Linked DNA regions of Arabidopsis thaliana. The protein of the gene in region 1 interacts with the protein of each later gene in a biochemical or structural test. Each region holds a gene or a part of one and is shown in the gene's direction. Other genes may lie near its edges.

The links.
Region 2: of the proteins of MYB110 (region 1) and ATMPK8, one has a biochemical effect on the other in vitro, tested with the Arabidopsis thaliana proteins (one large-scale study listed by BioGRID).
Region 3: of the proteins of MYB110 (region 1) and MPK5, one has a biochemical effect on the other in vitro, tested with the Arabidopsis thaliana proteins (one large-scale study listed by BioGRID).
Region 4: of the proteins of MYB110 (region 1) and MPK1, one has a biochemical effect on the other in vitro, tested with the Arabidopsis thaliana proteins (one large-scale study listed by BioGRID).

Annotation. Positions count from the first base shown.
Region 1 is NC_003074.8:11,006,883-11,012,198, reverse strand, and holds MYB110 (myb domain protein 110), read left to right. Parts: upstream 1-2,742; 5' UTR 2,743-2,779; coding exon 2,780-3,083; intron 3,084-3,181; coding exon 3,182-3,469; coding exon of another isoform or gene 3,470-3,585; intron 3,586-3,640; coding exon 3,641-3,966; 3' UTR 3,967-4,120; downstream 4,121-5,316. Other genes in the region: EXPA5 (expansin A5), read left to right, coding at 352-661; AT3G29010 (Biotin/lipoate A/B protein ligase family), read right to left, coding at 4,222-4,443, 4,520-4,668, 4,755-4,993, 5,076-5,254.
Region 2 is NC_003070.9:6,242,553-6,249,901, reverse strand, and holds ATMPK8 (Protein kinase superfamily protein), read left to right. Parts: upstream 1-2,089; 5' UTR 2,090-2,236; exon of another isoform or gene 2,237-2,310; 5' UTR 2,311-2,319; coding exon 2,320-2,586; intron 2,587-2,813; coding exon 2,814-3,216; intron 3,217-3,308; coding exon 3,309-3,436; intron 3,437-3,538; coding exon 3,539-3,598; intron 3,599-3,756; coding exon 3,757-3,906; intron 3,907-4,018; coding exon 4,019-4,174; intron 4,175-4,265; coding exon 4,266-4,403; intron 4,404-4,517; coding exon 4,518-4,591; intron 4,592-4,678; coding exon 4,679-4,795; intron 4,796-4,885; coding exon 4,886-5,084; intron 5,085-5,183; coding exon 5,184-5,261; 3' UTR 5,262-5,604; downstream 5,605-7,349. Other genes in the region: AT1G18160 (Protein kinase superfamily protein), read right to left, coding at 1-131, 288-776. UniProt on the Arabidopsis thaliana protein: MKK3-MPK8 and CAMs-MPK8 modules negatively regulates ROS accumulation through controlling expression of the RBOHD gene during wounding.
Region 3 is NC_003075.7:6,888,979-6,895,318, forward strand, and holds MPK5 (MAP kinase 5), read left to right. Parts: upstream 1-2,947; 5' UTR 2,948-3,164; coding exon 3,165-3,337; intron 3,338-3,591; coding exon 3,592-3,721; intron 3,722-3,791; coding exon 3,792-3,929; intron 3,930-4,005; coding exon 4,006-4,338; intron 4,339-4,434; coding exon 4,435-4,618; intron 4,619-4,694; coding exon 4,695-4,867; 3' UTR 4,868-5,229; downstream 5,230-6,340. Other genes in the region: AT4G11340 (Disease resistance protein (TIR-NBS-LRR class) family), read right to left, coding at 5,230-5,490, 5,661-5,733.
Region 4 is NC_003070.9:3,346,774-3,352,707, forward strand, and holds MPK1 (mitogen-activated protein kinase 1), read left to right. Parts: upstream 1-2,308; 5' UTR 2,309-2,545; exon of another isoform or gene 2,546-2,791; 5' UTR 2,792-2,805; coding exon 2,806-3,228; intron 3,229-3,313; coding exon 3,314-4,003; 3' UTR 4,004-4,407; downstream 4,408-5,934. Other genes in the region: WLIM1 (GATA type zinc finger transcription factor family protein), read right to left, coding at 1-110, 248-337, 425-468, 568-664, 856-990; AT1G10220 (ZCF37), read left to right, coding at 5,386-5,934.

The DNA of each region.
Region 1 (5,316 bases):
AGAACTGAACTATAGTGTATAATCTATACGAAGGCAAAGTAAGATTTCTTCTTACCTTCCTTAGTTATTGTTTCTGACTTTTCCATAGAACATATGTGTCGAAAACACACAAAAGCCGCGTATAGTGAAACATTTATAATCAGCTTTTGGTCCTATAAATACGCATTTAATACTTTTGGACCAGTTGATACATGTGGTAGAAATAAGGTATTAAATTATTTAATAGGCCCAAAACTGAATAATAGTGACATACCAAACTTGCTAGTGGTGCTTTCTCATTACCCCTATTTCATAAATATTGAAAACTTTCATAACATATAGTTTTTATTTAAATAATTTTGTGTTATATAGGGTTCGGTGCAAGAGAAGTGGTGGGATAAGGTTCACGATCAACGGCCACTCATACTTTAACTTGGTGTTGGTCACAAACGTGGGTGGAGCCGGGGACGTACACTCGGTCTCAATGAAAGGGTCGAGGACAAAATGGCAATTAATGTCGAGAAATTGGGGGCAAAATTGGCAAAGCAACTCTTATCTCAATGGTCAAAGTCTGTCGTTTGTTGTTACCACAAGTGATCGTCGAAGTGTCGTCTCTTTTAATGTTGCACCACCCACTTGGTCCTTTGGCCAGACCTACACCGGAGGGCAGTTTCGGTATTAATTATATATAATCGGTTCGGTTTGTTATTGTGCTTTTTTTTTTTTTTTCGGTTCCAAGTTGGGGACTCTTTTTTGGTAACCAATTGAGATTGGGACTGATAGTGATATGTAGCGAATATATGTGTGGGAACGAGAAAAAGAGAAGTTTTATTAATTCTCGTTTTATAATATAAGAAAATGAAAGTGATGTTATGTATTTTGCTTTTTAATTAATTTGAGTACTAAGTGGTGAAAATTCTCATGTTATGGAAGCATGAAATTTGTTTTTTCTGCCAAATAATTCTTCTTATTATTAAGAAAAAAATACCAACAATTCATTGGTTTAAATGAAAAAATTGGAAGATATTTTCGGAAGAAGCAAAGATAAACACTAGTTTAAATCAATTAATCCTCCATTTAAATGTCAAATGATCCACCTAAAATTTTGTTAAATATATCATCACCAGTTAGACTAGACCTATTATCTCTTTAAAATGTTGTAAAATGACCTTGAAAATTTGTTAAGTAAATTTTCTTGGATAGTACTATAACGAAATTTGGACTCAAATATGGGATGCTAGAACATTAAGAAAATGATATGTTTGGCAGAGCCAGCTTGGCTTGACCTTAGCAAGATCTCTAAATGTTAAATCATAATAGGGGTATGCACGTTTTGTGACTTGTCCTTGCGGTCCAGCGAACCAGTCTACAATAAATCGCAAACTAAAAAAAGTTAATTGGTATGTTTGATGGATCCAAATTAATTAGTCTTATAAGCCATTTTTTACTTTAATAGCATATATTTTTAAAGACCTAACAAAATGGGTCAGATCTCTCTGAATCTTAGAGGATTGGACTGGATCAAGTTTGCTCCCCAAAAATATGTCCCATCGGCTCAATATTATTAGGCCCTTTTAATTAAGACAAATAAACCGAACCGAATATACTAAACTGAAACTGAAGAAAAAACGAATCAAACCGAACCGGAAATTTGAAAATAACCAAATGGATACTAAATTCTATAACAGAAAGAACCAAAATTGACTTGATACCAAACCAAAATATTTTGGGTAACCAAAAATATCCAAAATATAATTATCTTTTTAAAAAATATTAGTTATTGTTAAACTAAATAACTAAAAATACTTGGAATTATATATAAATAGTAAAATACTCGAAAATAACCAAAAAATATATGATAATATCCAAAATAACCGAAATATCCGAAAATATTCAAAGCAAAATAACCGAATGGATACTAAATTACAAAACTGAAAAAACTGGAACCCAAACCGAAACCGAACCAAAATTTTAAAATAACCGAATAAATACTAAAATTTAGAAACCAAAAAACCGATAACTGAATGGATACGAACCAAAACCGAATGCCTATGTCTAGTTTTTTTGTCTAAATTAATCTTTCTTGTGTTTGAGAATTCATTTTTGGCCTCTAGATTAATTTTGGTTTTTTTTCATATGCAATCACTTTTTTAAAATCTGGCCCTTTAATTATTGGGTTGGGGCTCCAGACCGTGCCATCAACCGGCCCTGCCTATCTAAAACAACTGGGCCAAAAAACTTTAAACAACATTATGCTTTCTTCATGTTGAATATGTTGGTTATGCCACTATGAAACTTAAGTCTTAATCTTGTGTTTTTTTTTCTTAAATAATACATAGAACTTAGTTGTACATAGGAATATATATCTATCTTCTATAAGAAATTTCATCCAATAATAGGTATACATATTTTTGTTCTTATATACCTACATTTTTACATATACAAGGAAATAGTATAATTTAGAAAATGGTAAAGCGTGGGGAGAAGAATATAAGGTGTGACAAAAAATTCAAACTTTGTTAAAGAAAAAAAAAATGATGTCAGAGAACTGAAACTGTTTCTTAACAGAGCAACCATGAAAGATGTATGCGTGGGGTTTCTTTCTATTTCGAGTTATTCTCTTTCATCTCAAACCTGTTCTTCTCTCTCTTCAGGTTTCCATTTTTGGTAATGAAAAAGATTACTTACGATAACATAGCCATCAGAGAATCCAAACATCACATGCCTCCCTATATGTATGTGTCTCTCTTGTCTTGTGTGTGTGTATATATGAGACATTAGTTATAGAAGAGAGACTAACATGAAGATGGATTTTTCATGTTTCCAAGAATACCCTTTTGAGTTTCATTGCAGAGGAACAACATTTAATGGGTTTAGAGAAAACAATGCAGTGTCTGAAACAGTAGAAGAGTTCTGTAATAAAAGAAGGATGCAGAAGAAGAGTGATGATTTGAAGACTAAGAAGAAGAAGAAACAGAGTGTTTCTAGGGTTTGTAGTAGAGGACATTGGAGGATCTCTGAAGATACTCAGCTTATGGAGCTTGTTTCGGTTTACGGTCCTCAAAACTGGAACCACATTGCAGAGAGTATGCAAGGAAGAACAGGTAACGACAAAAATTGAAATCTTTAATCTTCCCTTAGCTAATTCCGGAACATGAAACTTACAATGTTTTTTCTTGCTTCTTTGTGTTTTGTCTTAAAGGAAAGAGCTGCAGATTGAGGTGGTTTAACCAGTTAGATCCGAGGATTAACAAGAGAGCTTTCAGTGATGAAGAAGAAGAGAGACTACTTGCTGCTCATAGAGCTTTTGGTAACAAATGGGCTATGATTGCTAAGCTTTTCAATGGAAGAACAGATAATGCCTTGAAGAATCATTGGCATGTTCTCATGGCAAGGAAGATGAGACAGCAATCAAGTTCTTACGTCCAAAGATTCAATGGTTCTGCTCATGAATCTAACACAGATCACAAAATCTTCAATCTTTCTCCTGGTTTGTCTCTTCTTACCTTACACATATGCATTGAGTTTAACTCTGTTATTGTAATGAGATACTTTCGATATTTATCACTCAGGAACAATGAACTTATGGTTTGGTCTCAAAAGTAGTCAGATTGCAAGTTTGGTGAGTCTTTAAGTTTCATGGTTCTGTGTGTTCTTGCAGGTAATGTAGATGATGATGAAGATGTGAATCTGAAAAAGTGCAGCTGGGAAATGCTAAAAGAGGGAACTACTAACCTGAAAGCTCAGTATCTCCAAGAAGAATATAGTTCTTCACGCATGCCGATGCAGGGTCCACATCATCACTACTCAACCTTCCCTGCAGATTCCTTGGCACTGACACTGCATGTCTCCATCCAGGAACCATCATCATCATCGTCATTATCACTGCCATCATCATCAACAACTGGAGAACATACAATGGTGACCAGATATTTTGAGACCATTAAACCTCCAGCATTTATAGATTTTCTAGGAGTTGGTCACTAAAGCTCTAACATTTAGAGTGGGAACTAATCAAGAAGTTGCTTACTCCTGTCATTATTATCAAAGTCTCTGACTTTTCTTTTGTTAGCCATTAACATGACAAGCTAAAGACATCAAGTATCTTTTCTTTTCTGATTCAAAGTTTTAAATCAGTATTACAAAATCAATAACCAGCACAAAATTATCTCAAGTAGTGGTGGCTCTAACGGTCTAACCCGAGGTAAAGAATCGAGAACCAAATAAACTATAGCAATACTCTCATGTGTTTTGAATGGTATCAGCCATTGCTTCTTCGAGTTCTTCCATCGTAAGAAGCCTCGTAGTCTTCAAATATCCTCCTTTCGCATAGGAATCAATATCTTCAAGGTTCACTTGCTTCAATGTGAATTGGTTCCTTACAGCTTTTACTGTCTTCTCAACAAAATCTGATCTTTCAATGTAATCCTTCATTCTACACACGAAATCTGTGTGATCTCTTTCCTGCAATGTACCAAAGAGTTTTGGATCAAGTAATCAATTAGAAGACGTTTAGATCAAGATGAAACAAGGAACATACCAACCGGTACTGTGGCACTCTCGAAGGCAGCTTAAGGTAAGCCATGTTTCTCACATCATAGTCCCATAGAAATGAAGTATGGTGAATCCATCTATTCTTAATTATCGATTGAGCATTCCCACCGAACTTACGATCACCAAACACATAATCTGCAAATCCAAATGACATTAAAACATTTTCATTGTGGACAAAGAAGAAGAATCAAGCCTGAGTACACACACACACACACACACACCATTCTCACGTAGTTGGAAACCATTAACACTCTTAAACACTTCATCATACAACGAACCACTCCAAGCCATAACAGAACGAGGATAAGGCTGAACATTTGGTACATCATCCTTGTTACAAATCAAACTCACAAACAAAGTACTCTTATCCACAATCACAGTTCCTCCTCCCGTAAATCGTTTAATCACCGGTATTCGATCTTCCATAACTGGTCCAACCTCAAGAAGCTGAGAAGGCTTCCTATAAACAACAACACACAAAAGTTAACATTTTGCGCAAACGATTTCGAATAGAATTGATGAAAAGATGATTCATTCTTTACCCTGACATTCCCATCACAATGGTAGGAACATTGGTTCCATCATTAACAATGCACCAATTATCAGAAGATGTTCTAAGAAGCCTTTCTTCTAAATGAAGTTGCTCCAAAATTGGTGTACCTTTAAGTCTAACCAAATTCATCAACGGAAGTCTCAAATCCTTTGCTCTACTTAAACTCATCTTAACCTGAGCCCTTCATCAAAACAGAGACTTTTCAATTTCTACAAATAACCAAACTTTAA
Region 2 (7,349 bases), on another chromosome or scaffold:
CCATCTGACACAAGTGTCCCCTGAAGATCAACTAAGGGAGGTATTCTTTTTAAGGAAGATTCATTCATTACTCCACACAGGTCATAGAAACCATCCACAATCTTGTCATCATAGCCAAGACAGTTATAATTCTGCAAAATTCCAGATGATGTAAAATTGGTTAGAAGAGACAGAAAAGAGTTATAAACTTATAATCAACTTAACACATTTTGTTTCAAGCATAGTCTATTGTCGCTTAAGTGAATTGGAAATTTGTTTCTATGTCTAGCAATGAGTTAAAAACTCACCCAATATCTATATGCCATGAGTTCAGCTGGAGTATTCTCGGGAGCAGAAGGACGAGAACCTAAGCTGAACTGCTTCATAGCCTCAATCTGAGCAGCTTCAGGATCCTCCCTAGCACTTAACTCTAGAGCCAACTGTATCTGATATTCTTCTTCAACTTCTGGATCCTTGGAATTACTACTAGAACCCAAACCCTGCATCCCAGATTCCGACCCAACGGGACCACCATGTTCCATGGTAGTGTCATCCTCTTTGCTATTGGTGGCATTGGAAGAAGAAGGGCTTTTCCTGTGAGTAACAGAGCTTAACCAATTTGATAAACCCAAAAAGGGTTTGAATTCAGAGTTATCTTGAGACCTCAATGAATCAGAAGGAGATGGTTCTGCATCACTAGACTTATTGCTTCTGTTAGAGACTGAACCTTCACCATCGTCTCGTTGATTGGGCGTGATACGAAGCTTTTTGAGAAATTTCTTCATGTTCATCTTCATACTCCAAATGTTAGAGCAGCGAACATCGACCCGAAAACTCCTTCATCCCTCGAATACACAGAAAAACGAGAACTTTGTGCTAAAACCCTAATTCCTTGGTACCACGACCCGGAGATCTGGAACTCCGTCCAGATCAACGGCTCGTCAAAATCTAATAACTGCAGCAAAAGAATTCTCGAGAAAACCTTAAATCGGAATCCAAATCAAGTAGCAAGACTCTCAATGGAGATCAGATTTCGATTTCAAGAAAATACTTTTTTTTTTTATCTCCGGAGCTGATCAAAAACCCAATAAGAGAAAGTTTGGAGCTTTTTTCTCAGCAAGTAAGCGAAGCCTCTTCCTTCTCTTTGACTCTCTCCTGAATTGAGAAAGTCCACAAAGACGCCACTTTCTCTCTCTTAAAGTCCGACAAAAGAAAATCAACTAAAAAAAACTTACGTAAAACAGAGTAGAGTAGATAGATAGATACGAGTATAGTAGAGGATGAAGAGTGGATTTTTGAGCTGGAGAGAATTGAATTTTGTTTTGCTTTTTTTTGCTACTGTAATTAAAAAATTACTCTATTTTTTGTACAATCAGTCAAAGCTTAATGCAAATATAGAGCTATTTAAAAACTTACCAATTCATTTTTAATGCAAATATATCATGCAAAACCGTACATTTTGTTAAAAAAAATAAGAAATGATAAATCGCAGAATTGTTTACGATCGTGCTTTCCATATTCAATATTCCTTCGCGTATCTGGATTTGTTTGATATCATTTATTCAAATAAAATTTTGTCTTTTTGGCTGAAAAAATGCTTCGCTCACCACCTTATGCATTATCCTCCCATGACATATCACATATATCATCAAGCGTATTATTCACTAAAAAATGCTTAGATTACGCTACTGTCGGATTCATTTATGACCCAATAACTATGATGTGCTCGAACCGCAACAGACTCCTGGACCTGCTCAGCTCATGATGAAATATATGTTCATATCATCAACGCGACCGAACGAGCAAGGCGTTTTTACTCTCTCTTTTTTTGTGTCTCAGATTCATAATTAGACTTTTAATTCCGGTTTGTAATGTAACATCTAACATCTTCTTAATTTCGAACCTTGTCCGGTTGAGTTTAATCCGTTTAGTGATTGAACGAAAATACATTTATTGTATGGGCCGCTTTGTAGGCCCATATACTCAATAAATGCATATGCCCGAATCAGGTTATCATTAACCGGTATAGACAAACCGGGTCGTCGAAATATTCCAAAGGTTTAAATATTTTGTTCTTCTCCCTCCACTCACTCTCTCTAATAATCAAGCAGGGGAAAAAAATAAATATCTGAGCATAAATAATGAAAAAAACATAAAAAGAAAATTAAAAAAAAAATGAAAAAATAGGAGAAGAACATGGTCTCCAACTCCGAAGGACAAAACCGAGAGACGCGGCGAGAAAGACGGTGACTTGACGGTAATTGTTTGGCTCTCAAGGAATTTCGGATACCCAATTTTGTAAATTACTAATCTTTTTCTTTTCTAATCTAGTAGTGGTCTATGGGTGGTGGTGGGAATCTCGTCGACGGTGTTCGTCGATGGCTTTTTCAGCGACCTTCTTCTTCTTCTTCTTCTTCTTCTTCCAACAATAATAATAATAATCACGAACAACCCATTTTCAATTCTTCTTCTTTCTCTTCTTCCTCTAACCCCAATCATTCCGCTAACTCTGGAGAGCTTATTATTGAAGAAGATCTCGATTTCTCTGGTCTAACGCTTATTAACGTTCCTAAACGTAATCATTTACCTATGGATCCTCACAAGAAGGTACCTTTCTTCTTCTCCTTCTCTACCCTTTTATGCTATTTGCTCTTAGATGTTGTCTTTTGATTGAGATTGAAGAGACTTGTTTTGTTCTCTTAATGTTCTGTGTTATTGCATTTGCTTCCACAAAAGGATAAAGTTTCAGTTTTGTGTTTCGTTTGATTGATCTTATTGTCTTGATCCATCATTTTGGTCAATTTTAAGTATGAATCATGAATAAAATTCTTCAGGGTGAAACTGAATTCTTCACGGAGTATGGAGAAGCTAACAGGTATCAGATTCAAGAGGTTGTTGGCAAAGGAAGTTATGGTGTTGTGGCTTCTGCTGTTGACTCACACACTGGAGAGAGAGTTGCGATCAAGAAGATCAACGATGTGTTTGAGCATGTCTCCGATGCTACTAGGATTCTCAGAGAGATCAAATTGCTTCGGTTGCTTCGTCATCCTGATGTTGTGGAGATTAAACACATCATGTTACCTCCTTCTCGCAGAGAATTCCGCGATATTTATGTTGTCTTTGAGTTGATGGAATCTGATCTTCATCAAGTGATCAAGGCGAATGATGATTTGACTCCTGAGCATTATCAGTTTTTCTTGTACCAGCTTCTTCGTGGTCTGAAATATGTTCACGCAGGTTAGTTTCTGGTTTTACACATTGGTCTCTTTCGATCCTCATGATTTTTGTTATAGATAATATTGAAACACTTAAGGGTTCTCTGTTTTCAGCTAATGTGTTTCATCGGGATTTGAAACCGAAGAACATTCTAGCTAATGCTGATTGCAAATTGAAGATCTGTGATTTTGGGCTGGCTCGCGTTTCTTTTAACGATGCCCCAACCGCTATATTTTGGACTGTGAGTCATCTAACTCAATGTGAAAGCAAAACTGTTCATTAGGCTTCCTCTTAACTATTTTCAAATGCTTGTGAGCTCATTTCGTTTATATGGATTTTGTAGGATTATGTAGCTACTCGGTGGTATCGTGCCCCTGAACTCTGTGGATCGTTTTTCTCCAAAGTAAGATTCTTTTTCACCAAACCCAACTACTCTTGCTATTTCTCCCTACCAGGAAAATGCTTCTAGTTTTCTATTTTGTAGAATATTGTTGTGTGGTTCTATAGTGTTGTTGAGAAGACCAGCCATCTCAAGCTAAGTCTACTCTTGTTATATTTCAGTATACCCCTGCGATTGATATCTGGAGTGTCGGTTGCATTTTTGCGGAAATGCTTTTGGGTAAGCCTTTGTTTCCCGGGAAAAACGTTGTGCACCAATTGGATCTAATGACTGACTTTCTTGGTACTCCACCTCCTGAGTCAATATCAAGGGTTAGTCACTCAAAACACTTGTTCATATTTTCTGTAGCAAATTTAATGTTCCATACATCATTGAGAGTAATTTAATCCTTGTAATGAGCTTTGCAATCTTGGACTTCTACAGATTAGAAATGAAAAGGCGAGGAGATATCTTAGCAGCATGAGGAAAAAACAACCAGTCCCTTTCTCTCATAAATTCCCTAAAGCTGATCCTTTGGCTCTCCGCCTTCTGGAACGCCTGCTTGCCTTTGATCCGAAAGATCGTGCATCAGCTGAAGATGTAAGTGAGAAGTAAATTTGCTTTACTTTTCCCTTTTGTTTTATACAGAACGAAACTCTTATATTCGTCGTTTTTGATTTTCATATTACAGGCACTAGCTGATCCATATTTCAGTGGTTTGTCAAATTCAGAGCGTGAACCAACAACACAGCCAATTTCAAAGCTTGAATTTGACTTTGAGAGAAAGAAGTTAGTTAAAGATGATGTCAGAGAATTAATTTACCGAGAGGTAACAAACAAACACAAAAGCCTTCTACATATATCCTTTTCTTTAATCTGAATTTGTTTCAATGTTATTCATTGATCCTAACAATCACTTTTCTTTGGATTTTGTAAATATCAGATATTGGAATATCATCCTCAGATGTTGGAGGAATACCTTCGTGGTGGTGATCAGCTTAGCTTTATGTACCCAAGGTTAGCTAATTAACAGTTAACAGAAACTATAAGTCTTGAAAACAGAAAGTTATGAACTCGATAAATCTTTTTGTTGTTTACGCGCAGTGGGGTAGACCGATTTAAAAGGCAATTTGCTCATCTTGAAGAAAATCAAGGTAAACCAGGAGCAGCAGGAGGAGGAAGAAGTACTGCACTTCACAGACATCATGCTTCCTTGCCAAGGTAATGTCTTTCACAGAATCTCTCTATCTCTTCTCTTCTCTTCTCAATCTCCCTCTGAGAGCATTGTGCTTCTCTATGATGATGTTGCAGAGAGAGAGTTCCTGCTCCAAATGGTGAAACTGCAGAAGAAAGCAGTGATGTTGAGAGAAGAGCAGCAGCTGCTGTGGCTTCAACCTTGGAATCCGAGGAAGCAGACAATGGAGGAGGTTACAGTGCTCGTAACCTCATGAAGAGTGCAAGCATCAGCGGTTCTAAATGCATTGGTGTCCAATCTAAAACTGACAAAGAGGTTAGTTAGTAAAGAAAGAAAGAAAGAAAAACAGAAGATCTTGAAAAGGAACATGACGATGAAGTTTGCTTACTGTTGTTCTTTTCTCTTTGTTTGCAGGATACCATAGCTGAGGAAGAAGATAATGAAACAGTTGCAGAGCTTACTGATAAAGTTGCTTCTCTTCACAATTCTTAAAAATGATTTAGTTATTTTTTTTCTTTTCTTTTCTTTTTTCACGAAAGTTTTCTGGTGAAAAGAAATTGGTTTCTCCATTCATCCACATCTATCTTCGTGGTTGGGTTTGATTTGTTGTATTTAATAGTTTTGGGGGTTTGATGAAACTTTAAATAAAAACATCGATCTCCATGTAATTTTTTTGTTTCTCTCTTTTCTTTAAACACTCATATTTTGAAATTATTTATATACTATTCAGTATTCACTTTGCTTCAGTACTTTGGGAGAGTTTGTGTGATTGGTATGATCCGGTCCAGGTCAAACCGGGATATTGGGTCTTATATAATAAATTATATTAACCTGAAGAACATACTCGACTTCTTAAAAGTAAAAAAGATAAGACTAAAAAATTAGCACACATAATAATAATGCTGTGTTAGTTGGCTTTTTAATGACGAAGACTAACCTAATATCTATTATTTATATTCCATGGTCCATCTGAATTGATACCATTCTTGGACTAATCTCATAACGACAAAATAAAATAAATAAAACGACAAAAAGAAGAAGAAAAAAAATGAACAAAATCGGGTTTTTGAAAAAGAGGTCAGAAATAATGGTATGGTCGAGTAAAGTGAGCTCCAGGGAGCTTACTCACCAACTCCAAACTACAGTCTCGATAAGAAAAAGAAACTGCAAAAAGTTGATGTATATATGGCGAACAAAGTCCACAGACGCCAGATTGGTTAAAGCAATTAGGCTACACTGTTTTTACATTATTTAGTAGAAATACTAATTGAATTTGTGCATGTTTAAAAGTGAAAAAAAACTAACATTATACTAATGGATCATGCCGCCAAACTTTGGAATTTGACTTCAAATTATGACCACTACAAATATAAATTAAAGAAAAAGTTGGTTTCATGTAAACTATAGGATCGTAAAGGAAGATTGTCACAAAACTCTTGACTAATAAAATTGGAAGTTAAAATGTCCGAAGAAAAGTTATATTACAAGTCTTTTCTAATCGCCAGTGAAAAGAAAATCGGTTCAAACTACATATTTTTTGTTCTCATAAAACGGTTTGTGGTCTTAAACATGCTGAAGATTCACATCCATTTATAGTTTTATTTTCGACTCCTCTATATCATTGGAGCTCACACATTTTCTTTTTGTTTTCATAGGAATCATTTTGCATTTTAAATCCATGTTAAATTTTTGCAAAGCATCAGTTTATGAGTTGTGTTCTATTTACGAATGAAAAAGGAGACTTGCATTTGTAGTATGTAATTCATATATTTTTTATCAGGTTTAAAACAGTTTGCAATTTCGTCCTATTATTTGTTCTCTTCGATGGCTCGCACCAACCCATGCACAGATCACATCACTTTATCGACCATAAAGTTTCAATGATTTTCCTAATATAAGACTTTTTAAAAGTATTCCATCATACATCTATATATCACTAATGTGGACTTCAAATTTCCATATTATCAGTACGAAGATTTAATAAGCGGAATTAACTACAAAGCCTATAATTCCATTTATATAAACAACATGTTTTGATCTCTGGTTTAAGAAGAGATTATATACTTTCGTCCCATACTTTATTGTTACAGAAACAGATAATGTGAATTTTTTATATATATGGTAACCATAATGCACCAAACGGAAACTCTAACAAATTCTTTTAATAAAAAATTGTTTGCAGATGACGCTTGAACCCAATTATAATATAAGGGAATTTTGGGTTTATTTTCCGACTTTGTAAACACTTCTTAATCACAACAGAAAACGTTAAAAAAGAAAAGGACATTAATTTGGACATATATATCATACACGTTTTTCATGTGAAAGTTAAATTTACCCCACAAATCCTGAATAAATATCTACTAAAGTACACATAACTTTTTACGTAACCAATTTTACATGCATGTGTTTCTTTTTCAGAAGGATTATCAACCGTGAATAATTAGATCATGTTCCACTTATTGTTAAACAAATACATATATCGAAAAATGATATTACTTTTTAACCATTCAAGAGTTCATAGTTGAGAATTACAATGTTGGAACATGAACTAAATTATCCTCAGTTCTATTCAATTCA
Region 3 (6,340 bases), on another chromosome or scaffold:
TATAATATTTCTTTGGGTCTAGTGATAAATATTTTCCCTTTTGCGAAAAAGGTACTTGTGTGAGACGAGATTGATGAGTGATTCTGAATTTGGGGAATGATAGTTCCCAACTACACTTTAAATCCAGTGATTATAAAGCGTATTAGAGATTATAAATTAAGGTTACAATTGAATTTTTTTTAGATTTAATCGGAACTAGACCTATGCCACTAACGATGTTTAGTTAATGTTAACTGAGTGCCGTCTTGGCATTGTTTGAAACAAATTTGGTATTCAAATCTTCAATGAGATAGTATCATACTACTAAAAAATTGAAACTTAGGTCTTTTTTGGCATTGTTTCCTTATATGGTTAAACATTAAATACTTACATTTCTTCTTCTTGATATATCGTATGGTGGAGGTTATATCACCTCATTTATGTTTTGTATTTAAGGATCGGTGGTGGAGATCTATAACATCATTCATGTTTGGTTCGTGTCTTTGTAGGGAGCTGTTGGGAGTTCTCGACACGATGGTGACAAGGAGAATTTAACACTTTGACTGAGCAAGACTTGATTGATTCATTCTAATAAAGAAAATTATGGTTGTGGAGGAGGCAAAATCGAGACCGCGGATGAGTTCATATATAAGTAGCAATGGTGGTCTTGGTATCGACAAGTATTATCCATATAAGGCTGTTACTGGAGCTTGCGACGGCCCCTCAAGATTGGTAGTTACAAACTTACAATCATAGAGATTAGGTATCATGTCTAACAAAAAACAAAAGTAATTCTTGAAAAAATAAAAATAAATTGTAAGTAGCATATAATACCAAGAATGTTATGAGTGATAGTATGAGAACCAGCCTGTGACTGTTGTCATTGATTCAAGCGATCGGAAATTTCACTTTATTTATCAATAATATATATAACATTCATATTTTTCAAAATAACTATATCTTAATAGAAGTCTCACGATTCGATACTTCGATCGACCACAACCAGACGTAGTCTCGTGTGATTGTGTGACTAACTTTAAAAACAACAATAATGAAATCAAAACACGAAAATCTAATTCTTACGTCCTTGTTTTTTAAATTCTCTTACGTCAATTCTTACCTTTGCGACCAAAAGAACATGTTAAATTTAAACCTACTAATTTCCGATTTAAATTTCTTAATCTTGTTACTATGAACCAAAAATTACACAATCTTTTCCCACGGAACAAAGATTATTTATTAGTATCCATATACATACAAATATACAATACACTCAAGCCACTCATATTTCGTACTTGATCAAGATATTTTCCCCCGGTAAAATCCAATTTAGAATTGTACAACATATATATTGGAAGTTCCGTTGTGTCATACCGTCACACTAATAATACAGCATACCAATAATAGAGCGCAAACGTTTCACATTGAATAGTTCACCACATATCAACTTGAGTAAATTATTATGCTTAGAGTTGTTGTCTTTTTGTTTTTTTATTTTTTTTGAATATCTGGAAATTCAAACTCAAAGACCTTACATTTTCTAGAGGCGGGATCCACACCAGATTAAATTCATATCCTTTGGGAAAGAAATCTCTTCCAACATGCCTCAAACCCAGTATTTCTAACTGAGAGATTTACCTACATAATTCAACAATCATGTCTATTATGTTTTCAATTTAGGATATCTAAAAATATTGTGAAGATAAACGAAACAAAACTTGAGGGAAAAAAAACAGTCACGTGAGTCATGAGTTATAAAGCATGGATAATGTTGGAGATCTAATTAATCTAATTGAATGCCACATCAAATTAAGCCAATCAGTGGAGAAGATCAATAATAAAAGTGAATTGGATCTGCCACTACACTTTTAGCATGAATATGGCTAAAAGAGATTGGTATTGGTAATGGTATCGTTGTCGGAGATTGTCGTACCAATTAAATAACATGTAATTATTGGATATATATTATATTGTGTCGGCCTAGTCATATTTGATGTGTAAGTGCGAGTGATTTGAGTTAGATATGGGGTATTTTACGAGGAAAATATTGAACAATTTAGGGTATTTTAAGGGTTGTAGTTTGAGCATCACAAGTTAATTATATTTAGGTTCTGCGTAAATTTGACTCAAAAGATTAAGTTATCAAAAGAAACCTCGTATAATATGATCCATATTAATTTTCTTTTTTTTATATAGAAAAGTTGAAGATTATGAGTAAATTGGTAAACTCGCGATATTCCAGAGTTCAAAACGTAATTTTAATGACAATTTGGTGAATAGTATAAATTAATATATTAAGTAAAAGATAACATTCTATTCGATATTGGTTTAATATGTCAACTGTTATATGTACATATAAGATGTTACTGATATATTAAGTGAATAATATGATATTCACCAAAAAAAATTGTATAATGAATGTGACTTTGAGTTGAAAGTTTGAAAACGAAGAGACTATAACATTTGAAGGAATCTATGGAATACGGGTGTGGAACCAATAGTGGAGGCCCTCTTCATAAACCGAGTTTCCCGAGATCCAAATTGTGCTGATGGAGCGGTTTCTAACGTTCTTGTCGATAATACTTGCAAGCTTGGCCGAAGGAACAGAAGAGTTACCATGACGTCTACCATTACGCTCGCACCACAAAGTATGAATTGATTATATGGAATACATACCTTAGAATGAAAGTATGTAGTTTTGGATGAGAATCATCAAGTAGAAGAGGAGAGATTAAACTCCAACTTGTATTGTATCTCAGTATCTGTTGCGAAGAATTCCTTTAGTGAGAGATGTGTATTGATAGGTGAAAAGGAAAAGGTCTCTTACTTTCATATTACGTGGGCCTCATAACATAGACCAGAGCTGATAGCATACCTCTCTCTATATTAAATAGATGGGCCAGGCCCAAACGTTTACCCATCTGTATTTATTACAAAGTACACGTGGCTGATGGACATGTGACGATACGTTTTGACCTATTCAAAATATTCAAACTAATGAAAAAGAGTCGTTGTCCTCTGACGCGTCTCTCTCTATCTCCTTAGATTTTCAAAGTTTTCAACATTCAACAAAATCATTATTTTAATTTTGCAGAGACGAATCGAATCGATCTCATCTCCAAAAATCTTGTATTCAAAGTTTGATTTTCTGGGTTTCTTCTGTATTATCTCGATATTTGAAAAAAATGGCGAAGGAAATTGAATCAGCGACAGATTTAGGTGATACTAACATCAAAGGAGTTCTTGTTCATGGAGGAAGATATTTTCAATACAATGTTTATGGAAACTTGTTTGAAGTTTCTAATAAGTATGTTCCTCCTATTCGACCTATTGGTAGAGGAGCTTACGGTTTTGTCTGGTACAACTTCTACCCTTTTGTGTATTTCATATTCTTGTTTCTTACTTAGTATTTGTAACCCTAATTAGATAAAGAACTAAGTATTGGTATAGGTTTTTGAATTAGGGTTGCTTGCAAAATTTGATCTTTTTTGGATTTAAGAAAGGTTCTGTCTTCAAAATCATAGTTTAAATTGAATGAATTTGATGATTTGTTTGTGTTTGTGTTTATGTATAAGCAAAATGATTCATGAGAGTATTGGTTTATTGTTATAGTGCTGCAGTAGATTCGGAGACACACGAAGAGATTGCGATAAAGAAGATAGGTAAAGCCTTTGATAATAAAGTAGATGCAAAGAGAACATTGAGAGAGATTAAGCTACTTCGTCATTTAGAACACGAGAACGTAAGTTTTGTACTCTATTTTCGCGGTAAACGATTAGAGTTTCTAGCTAATGTGGTCTTGACTTGTACAGGTTGTTGTTATAAAAGATATCATTAGACCACCAAAGAAGGAAGATTTCGTTGATGTTTATATAGTTTTTGAGTTAATGGATACTGATCTTCATCAGATTATTCGATCAAACCAATCTTTGAATGATGATCATTGTCAGGTACGGTTTTTACTCTGCTATATTTGATACTATGGTTGATTTAATCACAAGTGATTCACTTTTTCTTCTTTTGCAGTACTTCTTGTATCAGATTCTACGAGGACTCAAATATATTCATTCAGCAAATGTTTTACATCGTGACCTTAAGCCGAGTAATTTGCTTTTGAATTCGAATTGCGATCTTAAGATTACTGACTTTGGTTTGGCAAGGACTACATCAGAAACAGAGTATATGACAGAGTATGTTGTAACACGATGGTACAGAGCACCAGAGCTGCTTCTTAATAGTTCTGAGTATACATCTGCTATTGATGTATGGTCTGTTGGTTGCATATTTGCTGAGATTATGACAAGGGAACCGCTTTTCCCGGGGAAGGATTACGTTCATCAGCTTAAACTTATCACTGAGGTATGATGTTCTGTTTTAGAAAGATCTGTACAAATGTTGGAAACTTTTATTTGTGTGTTGCAATGTGTTTATGAGTTGTTTCATGTGGTTGAGTAGTTGATAGGATCACCTGATGGAGCGAGTCTAGAGTTTCTCAGAAGCGCGAACGCGAGAAAATATGTTAAGGAGCTACCTAAGTTCCCAAGACAAAACTTTTCAGCTAGGTTTCCTAGTATGAATTCTACAGCTATCGATCTACTAGAGAAAATGCTCGTGTTTGATCCAGTAAAACGTATCACGGGTATGATGAGAAAAATTGTACATAGCGAGATTGGCATATGGGTGATGAATCCTTGATCATACTCTTTGTTTTGCAGTTGAGGAAGCACTGTGTTATCCTTACTTGTCAGCTCTTCACGACCTTAACGACGAGCCTGTTTGTTCCAACCATTTCAGTTTCCATTTTGAGGATCCGTCTTCCACTGAAGAAGAGATAAAGGAGCTTGTGTGGCTCGAATCTGTGAAGTTCAATCCTCTGCCGAGCATTTAAAACATTATTTAAGAAGGGGAAAGCAAGTTTTATACTCTGACATTGAGCAAAACAAATTAGTAGTGTTTAAGCTCTGTTTCTCCTTCATCTCATGTTGATCGTTGTTTAAGCTATTTCACTAGTTAAAAAAGCTGTCTTGCAACTCAAGAAATTGTTCTATAAGGATCCTTGTAACCCAAGACATATCTTTAGTAGTTATGTCCATTCTTATTATCAGGATGTCTTAGATAGTGTTCTGTTTCTTCTACATATCATGTTGTTATCTTGTAACTCAAGAAATTAAATTAAAAAGCTATCTTTGTTTAGACTTGTATCATGTCACTTGGATTGTACTCGTAGAAAATGGGAAAAACTCGATGTGTTTATTCATCTCCAGCAGTTTCTTCAAGCACTACGTCGAGCTCTTGCAAATTTTGGTAATGAACACTAGTTCGATCCTTCACTCTCGAAACTCGACAAAAAAGTCTATCAACTTCGTCTCTTGACTCTATTCGAGTGATATTTTCATCATCTAGAAGGACGTTGATCCCACTCCTTCGTAACGCGGCTCTAAGAAGGCTGGAGAACTTGTTGCGGATCTCTCGACTCCGAAAACTTATGTAAACTTGATGTTGCGGCGTAATCTAGAGATTTTACAATGATTAGCCACTAGATTTATACAATAATTATATATATATAATTAACATACAGTATGTTCTTTTGTACACACCTTTTTTTTTTCTTTGTCATTGGCAATATTTCAATTTCTCTAATTCTAGAACTACATAATTTTTGATTTAATAGGATTACGTACGTGTGATGAGGAAACGTTGTCAAGCATTGCCTTAACCTTCTCGACGATTTCATTTACGAAGGTTGCTTGGTTGCTTCCAAAACAAAGTAAGAAAGAAAACAAATCATATAAGTATGATAACAATGTCGCAAATGGAAGAAACTACTGTTAAATGACCTCATTTTTAGTACGTAAGATTTTGAAAGTTATAAAGACTAATTTCCACATATTAGGAATCTAACATTCAAATATTAAAAGATTTAATACTGTTTATACATAGTCAATACTCAATACATTCATTTTTAACTCGGTTTGGAGAATGTATTGTTTACTAGATTTTAACCCGCGGTATACTGCGAGAACAATTTTATTTTTAAATTAGTATATATTAAAGTTTGCAAATTAAATCTATTTATATAATATTTTTATTTTATAGTTTACAATTGTTATTAAATAACGTCTTGTCAAACTCGTCCCGCCAAATCCGTCCCGTAAAAAACCCGCGGTACACCGCTAATTTAAATATATAATTAAAATAAATATTTTACGGGATTGCAATTGTATTTTGGTTTGTCAAACAAATATTTGTTTTAAATAGTTGCCAAAATCTAGCTCAAATTTTGGAGAAATAAGATTTATTGTATAGATAAAGAATGTATTTAGGTGTGTTTTGCTCATTTTAAGGGATTGCAATTGTATTT
Region 4 (5,934 bases), on another chromosome or scaffold:
TTGCAATATAGCTTACCCTCGTGAGCTATGTAATTCGAAGGGCTTATCGTGCAGCCTCCATGTGTACACTTGAAGCAGCTCTTGTGGTACAATGTTCCATTCACCGATACCTACACAAAGTCCACATTATAAGCAATGTTTCAGCTCTGGTTTAAGCCAAGAACAGATCAGATTCGTTATGGAAACAATCTAACAATCTTCTTTGACACAACTTGATTCTGATCAGGAAAGATTTGAGATTGGATACCTTCTCAATTGGATACACGGTTTTGTCGCAACCAACGCATTTCTCTCGTGTTCCACCAAACATATTCGAAACTTTGGTTCCAGCAGGTCTCTGTTAAACTTCTCTCATGTTAAATGTTAAAAAAATTCAAGAACCTCAAAAACAGAAAAAGGGTTTTGTTCTGCTGTCCGAAAGTACCTCTCCCTCCAAAGGCCTATCAGGTTTCCCAATCTTTGGTGTCCCTGTACATATATATGAATCAAACTTTAGATAGATAATTCCAAATTTGAAATCCCCACTCACAAAGCTTTTCACATTTTGATCTGTTTTTGGTAATTTACCTTCGAAGCTTTTCTCAAGACTTCCAGTTCTCTTGAAGTTTTGATCGAAATGTGGTCTGCAGTAGAGAACTCCTTCAAAGGAGTTGTAATTGCTAAGCTGACTCATCAAGAAGAAGAAGAAGAAGAAGAAGAAACAGAACAGTCAAATCTTTAGACCAATCAGTTTCCATAGCCAAAAATTCAAAGATTTCTACTTAATTGATTGGACTTCTTCATCTACATATATATCTACTAGATCTACTTCTGGATTAATGAGAAATCATCACAAACTAGAATCAAAGATCAAACCTTGAGAGTTCCTTTGCAATGGTGACATCGGAAACAAGCTTTGTGGTAGACCCGGTTATCGGCGGTTAACTTGTCGACAAGATAAACTGTTTTGTCACATGCCATGCATTTCTGGGTTGTTCCTGCGAACGCCATTCTTGTAAGAGATCAGACTAAAAGACTCAGGAAAAAAGAAAGAAGCTCAATAGTCTTGAGAGAGAGAGAGAGATAAAGAAGAATAAGATGAAGATGAAAGAAAGAGATTGTCAATTATTGTTGCTTGTTTTAATATGGGGACCAGATATATTGAAAAATGAACATGCTTCTTCTTTTTAAATATTTAAAGTAAAATTCTTTTAGGAAAAATTGAAATTTTTAATAAAATGTCACAAACAAAAAAGTTCAAGATGAGTATCGAATTTTGGATGCAAATTCGAATATTTGGTGTTTCTGACAACCCTAGCATTGTTTTTCGTGGTTGTCTAATCCACAAAACAAGATAAGCGATGAATAAATAAATAATTTGAACGTTAGCAACAAAACTAAAAACTGTACTACAAAAAGAAAAGGTTTCAACGGCATTTTTTGTGTTCTTAATTATTTTTGTCCAAACTTGAAGTAACCCGTCAATATCTGTCTCCTAGATATTTTGCTTATATTTTTTTTACATTAATTCAGTTCTTTTATATCTAGAGTCAGGTAATTATTTAGAGAATGCATGCAGTTGCTTGACAGTGCGTAAGATTTACACAAATTTTTCTCAACAGTGAAGGCAATGCTCAATAGTCAATAACTGTTTGTAAGGAAATAGAACAGGGAAAACCAACTGGAAAGAATCTTTGTCTGGTTTTAGATAATGATTAAAAGCTGTATTGGTTATGTTGAATTAGTTGGAAATCTCTAAATATCTATACACTATTTATTTTCTTTAATACTATATGTTGTGTAGTGTGTATATGAATAATGAAAATATCTGAAACATGCTTTACCATAAAGGCTTTTGATGAGCTGTAGTATTGACATAATTGGTTGAAGAGAATGAGTGATCATAATGATACCTAACATCTTTTATTTAATCAAAAATACCTAACGTTATTTTTATTTGCTACTATAATAGACTCCAACCAATTTATTAGTATCATTTTATACAGTTTCTAACATTTTTGCCACTGCTTAGATTTATGGGCTTTCCCTTTCTGTCTGCATGGGCCTCCTCTCTTATATTAATAATCTGACTTAATGAAAACTTTTAAATCTTTTGTAGTTTATTTTCCTCTAGATGCTAATTTTAGCAAAATGAAAAGATGTGTGATGGAAACGTAAAGTTAAAGCAAAAGAAGATGGTGAATTGGTGATGCAATATTTTAGTCATGTGTCATTGTTTACATTTATGATATATTTTACTTTAAAATACTTTTCTTCATTTTCAATTTTTATAAATCTTCGTAGAACACATATTCACAAATGATGCTACTTTGGTGATCAGTTACTAAAAAATACCGAAATTGATTTTAGAAGATAGAGACGTGAATCTGTTTGCCAATATTAATTGGGCTCAACTTAAGCCCAAATTATATAAGGAAAGACTACCTAGTAACGAACAAGTAGCAGGTCAACTGTCCGAGCGTTGGCCAAATCTCTCTCACTTCCACAGGTTTCTCTCTCCGGCCAAATCTAACCTCCGGGGAACGTCGTTGGTCACTTATCACCGGTTAGAATTTCCTTCCCGCTTTATCCCGTAAACTTTTTTCCCATTGATTCCGATCGTTTATGTTCCTTCACCAAATCGATAAAGTTTGATCTTTTTCCTTTTCACTATTATTAACAGACCAATCTGTTTACACAAGAAATCTACAGTAACTTATCACTTGAAAAGTTTTGATAAATAGTTAGTATAATAATTTGTTAATTGTGTGTGTAAATTTGATTTCTTGATTGTGTGTGAATTGTGATGAAGAGGGAAAACAAAAAATGGCGACTTTGGTTGATCCTCCTAATGGGATAAGGAATGAAGGGAAGCATTACTTCTCAATGTGGCAAACTCTGTTCGAGATCGACACTAAGTACATGCCTATCAAGCCTATTGGTCGTGGAGCTTACGGTGTTGTCTGCTCCTCTGTTAACAGTGACACCAACGAGAAAGTTGCTATCAAGAAGATTCACAATGTTTATGAGAATAGGATCGATGCGTTGAGGACTCTTCGGGAGCTCAAGCTTCTACGCCATCTTCGACATGAGAATGTCATTGCTTTGAAAGATGTCATGATGCCAATTCATAAGATGAGCTTCAAGGATGTTTATCTTGTTTATGAGCTCATGGACACTGATCTCCACCAGATTATCAAGTCTTCTCAAGTTCTTAGTAACGATCATTGCCAATACTTCTTGTTCCAGGTGTGTGGTTGATCCCGTTCATTTACTGTTGGTTCTAGCTTTGCTTTCTCCTGAAATTTTGCTTTGCTTTGTTCTTTTTGTGTAGTTGCTTCGAGGGCTCAAGTATATTCATTCAGCCAATATCCTGCACCGAGATTTGAAACCTGGTAACCTTCTTGTCAACGCAAACTGCGATTTAAAGATATGCGATTTTGGACTAGCGCGTGCGAGCAACACCAAGGGTCAGTTCATGACTGAATATGTTGTGACTCGTTGGTACCGAGCCCCAGAGCTTCTCCTCTGTTGTGACAACTATGGAACATCCATTGATGTTTGGTCTGTTGGTTGCATTTTCGCCGAGCTTCTTGGTAGGAAACCGATATTCCAAGGAACGGAATGTCTTAACCAGCTGAAGCTCATTGTCAACATTCTCGGAAGCCAAAGAGAAGAAGATCTTGAGTTCATAGATAACCCGAAAGCTAAAAGATACATTAGATCACTTCCGTACTCACCTGGGATGTCTTTATCCAGACTTTACCCGGGCGCTCATGTTTTGGCCATCGACCTTCTGCAGAAAATGCTTGTTTTTGATCCGTCAAAGAGGATTAGTGTCTCTGAAGCACTCCAGCATCCATACATGGCGCCTCTATATGACCCGAATGCAAACCCTCCTGCTCAAGTTCCTATCGATCTCGATGTAGATGAGGATTTGAGAGAGGAGATGATAAGAGAAATGATGTGGAATGAGATGCTTCACTACCATCCACAAGCTTCAACCTTAAACACTGAGCTCTGAGCTCAAGTCTTGTTTGTACGGGTAATTTACAGAAAACTTCTTCTTCTTATGTCTGATTGTCATCATAGACTCATAGTGTATATAGTCTTGAAAAATAAGATGAAGACTAACTTATAGTTTAAGCGAATAGTGATGCCATGGAAGCTCTGTTTTATTTAATTACAAGCTTGATGTGTGTCTGTAACATATGTACATAGAGAGAGCTGTTTTTTTTTTTTAATTACAAGTTTGATGTGTGTCTGTAACATATGTACATAGAAAGAGCTGTGTTTTTTTTTTAATTACAAGCTTGATGTGTGTCTGTAACATATGTTCATAGAGAGAGCTGTGTTTCTGTTTCTCTGTTTGTTTGTTGCGTTCTTGCAGAACTTTTAACCCTCTCATGCAATCCAAGCCTTTTGATGAATCAAGTTTTCATATAGTTGTTCTCATATAGCTTAAATCTAAGAATATCAACAATTAAGCATTTTGTTATATGAATATTTGATGATCACACCATGATCATAGGCCTTCGGATTCATAGAAGGGGTAGGCCTTTGCACCGAACCTAACTTTCCAAATCGTAACAAAAACAATGTATTGTTTTTCTTTCAATTTCTTAATGAAGTTCTATAAGATAATTTTGGTGAGTAGTATCAGTACCCTCCTCATTCATTTATCACATGATATGCTTCATTTTTTTGTCAACACATGATATGTTGCTTCTATTGGTTAAAAAGCCTTAAAGGCTAAAAGCTTTTTCTTCTACACCAACTTTCCTTCTCATAATTCATTTTTCTTTTCATAGTATATAAATAACTTGGAGGATTTTCCAATTTTTGTAAACCCATCAGAAATTTAAATTAACAATGAATATTCCAACTATATGTTTATGGTTGAATCACTTTTGTCTTTCTTTCTCCCCAAGTCAAAACTAAGTTAAATTAACAATTAGTCAATTACTTATGATAAACCAAAAAAATATGATTACACCATCATGGAAATTTTTTTGCAGCTTCTTCCGCAAGAAAGTCAATTTGTAAGATCAGCAAAATACATCTGGGATGACGTTTCATTTGGTAGAAACTTATCTTCTATTCGTCCTAAAAGAGAACAAAAAAAGTGTCAACAATACGTGATCTGATCAATTCATCACATTTAATGAGATCTGGTCAAATCACCAATCCATTTGTGTATCTGAAATATTTACAATTAGTTTAAGACAAGTCTCATTATGATAACAATAAAGCCGTCTCTCTTGTCCAAATACTAAATCCTGCCTAACAACTCCTCCGTAACCAAATTCCTTCAAGCTCTCAAATTCTCACAACCTCTCCACACAAAGGACCAGTAACAGAAAAAAAAAAAAGAGGATATTGTTGATTGGACTGAATTGATTTGATATGTTGAGTCCGTTTTCGTCACCTAGGAGATCGAGAAGAGGAAACAAAGAAAGCAAGAATCCTTATTCAAATCAAGGACTTGACAAGTTCTCTGCACTTCTATCTGAGCTCGATGAGAAAAGACAGAGCATTTACGCAAAGAGGCTTGATCCTGATGGACCGCCTCTTGTTCGGTTTGTCTTCACTAGCTCCGGCGAGTGCGTCCCTGTAATGATCAAGACAAAGAGGGCAAGTCAGAAGAAGGATGTTCTAGATGATTTCAAGGTCAAGAAGAAGGACGTTCTAGATGATTTCAAGGTCAAGAATAAGGATGTTCTAGATGATTTCAATGTAAAGACCGAATCAAAAACAGAGCAGGAAAAAGAAATAAAGCAAACAGATTTGGAAACAGAGCAGAAACAGAGCTGTGTATTGAATGAGAATCTGAAGAAGATTTCAAGACCAAACCATTTATTACCCGTGACAGTGGTGCTGGTTCTAATATTATTGGTGTTTTTCGGACGGACCGTCTCGATCATGTGCACTTGTATCGTTTGGTACTTGGTTCCA